2 linked regions of the Bombyx mori genome follow. The main gene of each other region encodes a partner of the protein of the gene in region 2 in a complex. Links are inferred from orthologs where the notes say so. Each region holds a gene or a part of one and is shown on either strand. Other genes may lie near its edges.

Region 1 (3,829 bases), on a different chromosome or scaffold from region 2:
AATCGATGTTGGAAGGAGTCTACTCTGCATGCGTGTGGATTTTCATGCATCCATAAATGCGTGTTATGTCGATTGTACATTCCCACACGTGTGAATGTACTTTCGTCAGTCCAAATAATGTTTCGCTGCCAATTTTGTAATAACCAGCGGCAGAACTCTAAGCGTGGTAAGTAGTCACTTGGCGTCAGCTCCTGGCATCACCTGAGGTGGAATGGATGCTCGCCATCACCACTAAGCGTGCGCCATATGTGCATATGGCTACAGCCAAAGCGTGGTGCTGCTTCCCGGGTGCTACTGTGCGGATTTTCGTCGAAATAATCGAGAATTTCGTTTTGGAGACGAGTGTGTGTACGCATATTGTCTCCCCTGTCGATAGCCGTGTTTGGACGAAAAGTTCCGTGGTCTCGAAGCCGTTGTGTTGCTGATAACATAGTGCGGCGGTCTACACTAGTACCGTATGTCGCGTTAAATATTCTACACGCTAGTGCCACATTATCATCACTTCGTGCCAAAGTTCTCACCATTTCTGTGTATTGAACGTTAGTATACCGAAAAGACATAGCGAAATACGGGAGATATTTTATTTGCACTATCACTTGACCTCTTATCGATAAGGAGGACGCGGCGTGAGTGACTTGTCAAAAATTTTTTTTTTTACTTCGTTGTTTAGATTTTTCTTTGATCACCGCCGACGCAACCGGGCTCGCCGCGAACATCGGGATTAGCCTGCCATCTCACTCTATTGTAAGAATATTAAGCCGACGAAAGAAAGGGATAGTAATTATTTTTGTATTACATGGCTTTCTTTTATGTATCGTAGTGTTGCTGTGTTAGTGTTGCTGTTGCTGTGTGATTGTGTGCGTAGGTATTTTATTTTGTAATAGACTATTAGCCTTGAAATAAGTATCAGATTTCTTTAATTAAATAATTTTTTTTACTAATTAGTTATTTCATTTTAAAAAGTCTTAATACCCTGACTTACGTTCCATTTTCGTTTCTATGAACTGTTTAGCTAGCTGTGTAGGGTGACTGTATTTTCCTTAGTTTTAACGCAATTTTTAAAAAAAAAAATTTGTCATAAAAAACAATCAAAATCGATCCAGATTCCGATTCTGAACAAATTACTTTCAGGGTGTGCGTTAATTATGTTACATGTTGTATATACGTTTATCTACGCAATTGAATCATATATTGTAGCAATAATCATTTATTGTACTGATAAACGTGACGCACGTCCTGACCGAGCGTCACGCGCCATCACGCGGCCTGACACTACGGAGCACACCGGGAGACGGAATGTGAACCTACTGTTGAGGTCTGCGGGCGCCAGAATGTGATAATTGAAGTTTCTTTTGACGAGGATGCCCTGCAGCTCCTGACCTTCCTTGGGAGGGTCTACCGCCAGGGAGCCCATCACCTGCGGGACGAGCAGTGCTATTAGCGCGTGGGGTGAGGGTGCGGGGCGGGGTGGGGTGGGGTGCGGGGCGGGGGCTGCACCTTGGCGGTGGTGTCTCCGCGGAAGCAGAGCGCGAGGGGCTGCGTGTTGCGCGGCGTGTGCACGAGGATGGCGCCGCGGTGCTCCCGCTCCAGCGCCGCGCGCAGCCGGGACATCTCGTTCTGCTCGCCGTGCACCAGCACCTGCACACCGCGCCCGCTGTAGTCGCCGCTACACTGCACTACACTACACTACACTACACTACAGCCGACACTCACCACGTGCGGCGGCTTCAGGATGTTGATGAACTCCGAGGTCTGCTGGTAGTCGGTGTGCGCCGAGAACGAGATGTAGTCCACGGACATCCGCAGCGGCAACTTCTGGCCGGACATGGTCGTAATCTCGTCCGGCTCCGACAGGATCGTCTTCGCCAGCGTCCCCTCCACGCAGTAACCTGCCACCGACCTCACCGTGAGAGTGTCGCCACTACAACGTTGTTGTACGCGGACGGATGCTATACTACTTTTAATAAAGAATTAACACATTTGTATCGGCAATACAACACGATATATGTATGTACTTTACACTTATAGATTAATTGATAAAATACGCTGCGCTGGCGACGTGTCGCTGCGGTCAGGAGGACGCTCCGGCCGGACTCACCCGCTATGATGACTCCGTTCTTAGGGTCGGTGCACCAGGACTCGAACAGCTCCCGAGACAGTCCCGACTGCATCATGCCCGGGGACGCCATGATCACGCACGGCCCTATGTCCTCAAAGTGGTCTATGCCCTGAAGTCAGAGACACAATATACAATAACGAGCTGGATAGAGGGAGCGCGTCGTCGAGAGGCGGCAAATAAAGTTAAATGCGAGAAACACGCGTGTGGTTGACAAGTACGGCCTAGATCGGTGTTTCACAACATGGGACCCACACCCCACAAGGGGGCAATCGCACTAAATTAATATAGAAAATCTGTATTAAAATTATTTTGAATTTCAATTCAGTTTTTTATTATATATTTTGAAATATTACTTATTGTGTTCTGAGAACAATTTCATAGTGATTTCTTCCTAAAATCTATCATTTATGCTTCTTAAGTGAACAAATCAATTTCTTATGTATGTGGGACATAAAAATTTTAGAAATGTTACAGTTGGACACGGCACAAAAAGGTTGGGAAACACTGGTCTATAGAAATAATTATAAAAAGCCAGTATTCTCTTTTATATTAAAATGTTACTGATTTCACACATATGATTAATATGCACATGCAATAATCGGTTGACATATGCCCCAGGACAACAGACCCCGCCCCGCCCCCTCGGCGGCTGGGGGTTCCCGTGCGTGTGCTCTTGTGTGATTAATCGGTTTTATTAAAATACACATCAGATTTTTTTATTGAAATATTTATATTGTTTGTAGTCGTTATGCATGTGGCTATTGTTATAAAAGTGGTTGGTATACTGACAACGTAAGAACCTTATTGGCGTAGACCTGTAAATAAGAAAATTAAAATGAATATGTTTAAATTTACAAGTGAACTTAACAAAAAAATATTATATTATGTTAAAATTACCTATTAGTTTTGTATATTTCATTGTTTATAAATTTCTATACAAGAAATCAATGGCCCAGGGCAAAAATGTATGAGTCCAGCCCAGGGACCAGCACAAATGAGGCACGTCGTAATAATTACGGGTATATAATACAACTTCAACCCAGAATCGATGGTGTCACTCATACATACATTGATTGCAAAACATCATGAAATATGGCACTACTAAAACGTATTGATTAACGTTGCTTTTCTTTCTTCTTAATCAACATAATACAAATAACTCATTACATTGTGCTTGACAAATTACGTGAAACGATTTTTAATTTATATCAATAAACTAGCGGCCCGGCAGACTTCGCAGTGCCTAAATCGATATAAAAGACCTAAACTTTTTTTTAAATAAACTTAAAACAAACAAAAGGAATCCGTCCGACGGGGGACACATGAAATGAAAAACAAAATTGTTATTTTTGTTTAATTCCAAGCATTTTCATATTTATCTACCTTTTAAACCTTCTCTGGACTTCCACGAATAGTTTAAGACCAAAATTAGCCAAATCGGTCCAGCCGTTCTCAAGTTTTAGCGAGACTAACGAACAGCAATTCATTCTTATACATATAGATAGAAGATAGATGGTATGGTTCAGGTGATTTACGTGTGGATTAAATGGCTCGCGCCAAGGGTCCGGCTCGGCGGCGCGGCGCATTGTCTACAGACTCCTGTCGTCTGCTGTACTGCCGATGTCAATAACCATACGGCACGGCGGTGTACTGTACAGAGCACAGACCGTTGACGGATGCGACGCAACAAAACAGTTGAAGCTCGTGGTC
Region 2 (4,551 bases):
CAAACTTTTTACAATGTGCCATCATATATTGCGTTTTTATTAACCAGGGGTTTGGTCCCCTGGGATCTATGACACCCTCGGGACTGGAAACCCTCCAGCCATACATCCCATCGCCGGGTGTCGAGCTTGGGATTAGGGCATTTTTGAAGAGGTTTGCATCCTCGCGGCTTCGACCAGTAAAGGCAGAAGCCCCCGTTCCCCATGACTGGGGTTTACGGTTTGGCCGACGGTGGCCGAAGCCTGTCCATCGCCCACAACGCGGTGCGGAGCCACGCCGGCGAACCGGTACCTCCCATATCTGGAAGGCCTTCCCCTGTAGCCGAAGCCGGGGACATGGCAACCCGCAGCCGGAAGACACCAAAGTGCCGCTGGCTCACCAGGCTCCCGAGAACCAACCCCTCATCCCCAGAATGGAACTCTTTGTCAGTGCAAAGGGCGTGGGGAGAAGGTCCCTCGCTCCCTCTCAAGGCATCCCCCGCAGAATGCGAAGGCGGCCGAGGAGAGCTGGGCGCAGTTCTCTTAGTCGCGGCGTCCCACACAGATTCCTCTGCACGCGATTTTAGGGACGCACGCTTAAGCCCCACCGCCACGACAAGGCGGAACTACATTCGGTGGGGCGCTTACAGGTCATGGGATAGAGTCTGCAGAGAATAAACGCGGCACGGTCGCGGACTGATTTTATATGTGGGCGAAATGTCATGGATGCATCCAGGGCGACAGGGTGTGATCGGGGGTGTGATATTTCTTCTCCTAATACGGAAGGAAATAAGCGATGAGTTTCTCCTTTGAAATAACATTGCTGTGCTTTTCGCTGGGTTGATATCTATGCGCCATTTTCAGAACCACTGTTCGAGGGTTAATGCTGCACTCTGGAGCTTACTCGCGATTAGAGACTTGTTTCTACTCGAGTAGTAAAGGGTTGTGTCGTCGGCGAAGAAGGCTAAATGGGTCGGCAGCGACCGGGGAATGTCGTTAATAAATAAACTAAATAGGAGTAGAGAGAATACTATTCCTGTATTCCTGTTTGTCATTTCGTAAAATATCCCCTATGATAAATGAATGAGTGAAGTTGTCTGATTTGTTTTATTTTGTCTATTTAGTGTTTCTTCAGGCTTAAATACGTAATAACGGTGGCTTATTAACTGTTTAATAGCTGTGAAAGTGCACAAATGTGGAATAAAAAATACAGCCGCTGGACGTAGCTTCTCGGGATTCTCCAAAAAGCCCACTAAAAAAGTCTCAGTAGTAAATAACCACCATTTTACTGAGATTATATTATTTCATCTCATATCATCTCATCTCATTTCATTTAATTTCATCTCAGTTGATTAATGTCTCAAATTAATCATTTTCATGTAATTTCACCCCATATTATCATTTTTCATAAAAATAATAATATAAATTAAAATAAGACTTGACTTAAAGGTCTTAGTTACCAGGTCATAAAATTCCTTAAAAAAACAATTCTAAAGAGTTTAGCTAAACAAAAACGTCTTTAAAAATATAATTTACTAATAAATGTTATATCATTCGGCATTCTAATTGAACAATCACTACCGTACCTGCATTAAAACAAAATTAGATAATTATAATATGCAGTAAACTACCAAATAATAGTACAAAATGACTTCAATAATTAAATTACATTGCTTATCTGGTGCTGGTGAGGAAACTCCTCCGTGCTATGTGCTCCAAATAGATGAATTCAAATTCCTCCTGGATTGCGGATGGGACGAGAAATTCGATATGGTTTTCATTAAAGAACTTAAAAGGTTAGTTTTTAGGTTATGTTTCGAAGAATAAAAAAAGTATACAATAATAAAAAATAACGTTCAACATACAGCGATCCCAAGCTATATATATTCGCCAATATATACAGAACACGGACAAACACACCTTCACCCCGAATATCAAATACTACAGACGAACTCTCACCAGGATTCCAGTCCGTTGTTTTTATACTAAATAAACACTATCAACGGTGCGATTACCATAACAGCACAGTTCTGCTTTGAAACCACTACCGATAGCCACTAATTCCACACGTTAAATTGGTGTTCTTCAATCATAAACTTAAAAAACACACTTAACTTTATTTCTCGGTCCTGATGCCGCCTTTGCCTTGACACAGGACTAAACATAATATTTATATTAAAAAAATGTTACTCCTGTAATAAAATAAACATGAAAGTAGATTTGAATATGAGACAGGGTGTCCTAAAAAGTATTGGATAGGGCTGATCGAAAAAAAAACATCCAGCATTGGCATAATGTGGGCAAGAAGAAAAAATTATCATCCAATTACAAAAAAAAAAAACATTTGCTAGGAACAAAACTTATACTTTAACAAATTTTACTAGAATATATGAACTAGTACTTACATTAAATACATAATTACTATTTTAATGTTTATACGTAAAACAGATAAATTTTGCAAAATATAGAAGTACAGAAATTTTTAATTTGTTTGTGTGGTAATTTCAGTTATTTTGGTTCACTATCTACTCTAATATTGTTTGCTTTGGTTTACCATGTAGATGTATTGTACTGTTAGGTTTATATAAAATAAAAGAGTCAATATTAATAATAAAATATTCATTTAATTATGTACTCATCATATATCTATTGTGTATCATCACTTTGTGTATAATAATAAACCAAACTTTGGTACTGATATAAACACATTTTATTAATTTCAGACATGTAAATTCAATAGATGCTGTACTAATATCACACTCGGATCCTCTACATTTAGGAGCTCTTCCATATGCAGTTGGAAAACTCGGTCTTAGCTGTCCAATATATGCAACTCTACCGGTATACAAAATGGGGCAGATGTTCATGTACGATTTATACCAAGCCCATAAGAATGTGTCCGAGTTCGATTTGTTCACACTGGATGATGTTGATATGGCTTTTGACAGAATCGTACAGTTGAAATACAATCAGAGCATTGAAATGAAAGGTAATAACAGAATTTATTTACATTTGCAGTTGTTTCTGTTATGCTTCTAATATTTATGCTATATACACACCTAGTTTTTTTGTTTATTGCTTGATCAGACGGTATACCTGTCTAGTGTTAAGTGATTACGGAAACCCAAAGACATCTAAAACTTAAATTGTGCCACCTACCTTGAGACATGAGTTAGTTCTAATGTTTTACAGTACAATGCATGCCCTACCCTTCAATCTGAAACGCATTCCTGTCTCACGGCAGAAATAGGCAGGGTGACAGTAACTACCTGTGTGGACTCACAAGACGTGCTGCCACAAGTTTAGAGAAGAGAGGTCACAATAAATATTCAATAAAATATATGCAATAAAATATTCATTTAACTTGTCTATGCTTAACACCCTACACAAAAGCAGTCAAGAAAGCCAATCAGCAAGAACACCAAATCACAGCCAGACTAGTAGTCTATAGGAGTATTAAAAACTTTCAGATTGTCTTAAGCACTTTAGAATAGTCCTCATCCTCATCAGTGTGCTTGCTATGAGTACAACATGGATTCTTCTTTTTTCTCCAGCTTGTTCCACTAGGTGGGGTCGGCACAGCTAATTTTTCTCTTCCATTCTCTTCTATCAGCCGTCATCTTAAAACTCACTCCTCTCTCTCTCTCTCATATCGTCATTCACACACTACATCCATGTCTTCTTTGGTCGACCTCTTCCCCCTCTACCTTGCACTACCATTTCTATACATCTCCTGGATTTACAACATGTTGAATGGTACAACATGGATTATTGTTTTAAATCTCAATAATATTTTTTTTTTTTCTCTAAAGTGCTAAAGACTCAATACTCACAAAAATCAATTCTTTCATTTAATTTCTTAACTAAATTTGCTTTTCCTAGGAAAAGGTCTAGGTCTCCGCATTACACCACTCCCAGCTGGCCATTCCCTTGGTGGAACAATATGGCGCATATCCGCCCCCGGCGAGGAAGATATTGTTTACGCGCCTGACTTCAACCACAAGAAAGAGAGACATCTGAATGGATGTGACATCGAAAGACTGATGAGACCCTCTCTGATGCTGTTGGGAGCTATGAATGCTGATTACGTGCAACAGAGGAGAAGACTGAGAGATGAAAAATTGATGAGTTAGTGAATATACATATAAATGTTACGTCTTCGGATTTACTAGTAATACTTTACAACACATAAAAATTTATGGTCTAATAGATAAGTTGTCTGGTGCACTTATATGACAACCCTGTTCATCACACGAATATCTGTCCTATGTGGAAATCACACCCACCACCCGGCAGTTAGGAATGTAACTACAGGTAAATTTTTAAAATTTACCATACTGTGGTAATGTTGGGGCCTAAATCTATTTATTATATGTGTGCTTATTTCTCGACACCTCAGCAGCTGCATTTATGATTTTTATCATCTCCAGTAGCAAAACTAAGATCCTGATGCATTACTTCAATTTCAGGGTATTTTTAATTTACTTTTTTTTCTGAGCTATTATATTAACAATCCTTTTTTTTTATAATTAAAACTGTTTTTAACCGACTTCAAAAAAGGAGGAGGTCTCAAGT

Evidence for each region.
Region 1: probable cleavage and polyadenylation specificity factor subunit 2 (region 2) and cleavage and polyadenylation specificity factor 73 share a complex: the UniProt entries of both Homo sapiens proteins name them as parts of the cleavage and polyadenylation specificity factor (CPSF) complex. The link is inferred for Bombyx mori from reciprocal best matches to the Homo sapiens genes CPSF2 and CPSF3.

Annotation. Positions count from the first base shown.
Region 1 is NC_085125.1:202,235-206,063, reverse strand, and holds part of cleavage and polyadenylation specificity factor 73, read right to left. Parts: exon of another isoform or gene 2,510-3,829; intron 2,229-2,509; coding exon 2,099-2,228; intron 1,890-2,098; coding exon 1,714-1,889; intron 1,639-1,713; coding exon 1,498-1,638; intron 1,418-1,497; coding exon 1,309-1,417; intron 1-1,308. UniProt on the Homo sapiens protein: Component of the cleavage and polyadenylation specificity factor (CPSF) complex that plays a key role in pre-mRNA 3'-end formation, recognizing the AAUAAA signal sequence and interacting with poly(A) polymerase and other factors to bring about cleavage and poly(A) addition.
Region 2 is NC_085131.1:11,906,774-11,911,324, reverse strand, and holds the start of probable cleavage and polyadenylation specificity factor subunit 2, read left to right. Parts: upstream 1-1,434; 5' UTR 1,435-1,623; coding exon 1,624-1,772; intron 1,773-2,699; coding exon 2,700-2,965; intron 2,966-3,858; coding exon 3,859-4,104; intron 4,105-4,551. UniProt on the Homo sapiens protein: Component of the cleavage and polyadenylation specificity factor (CPSF) complex that play a key role in pre-mRNA 3'-end formation, recognizing the AAUAAA signal sequence and interacting with poly(A) polymerase and other factors to bring about cleavage and poly(A) addition.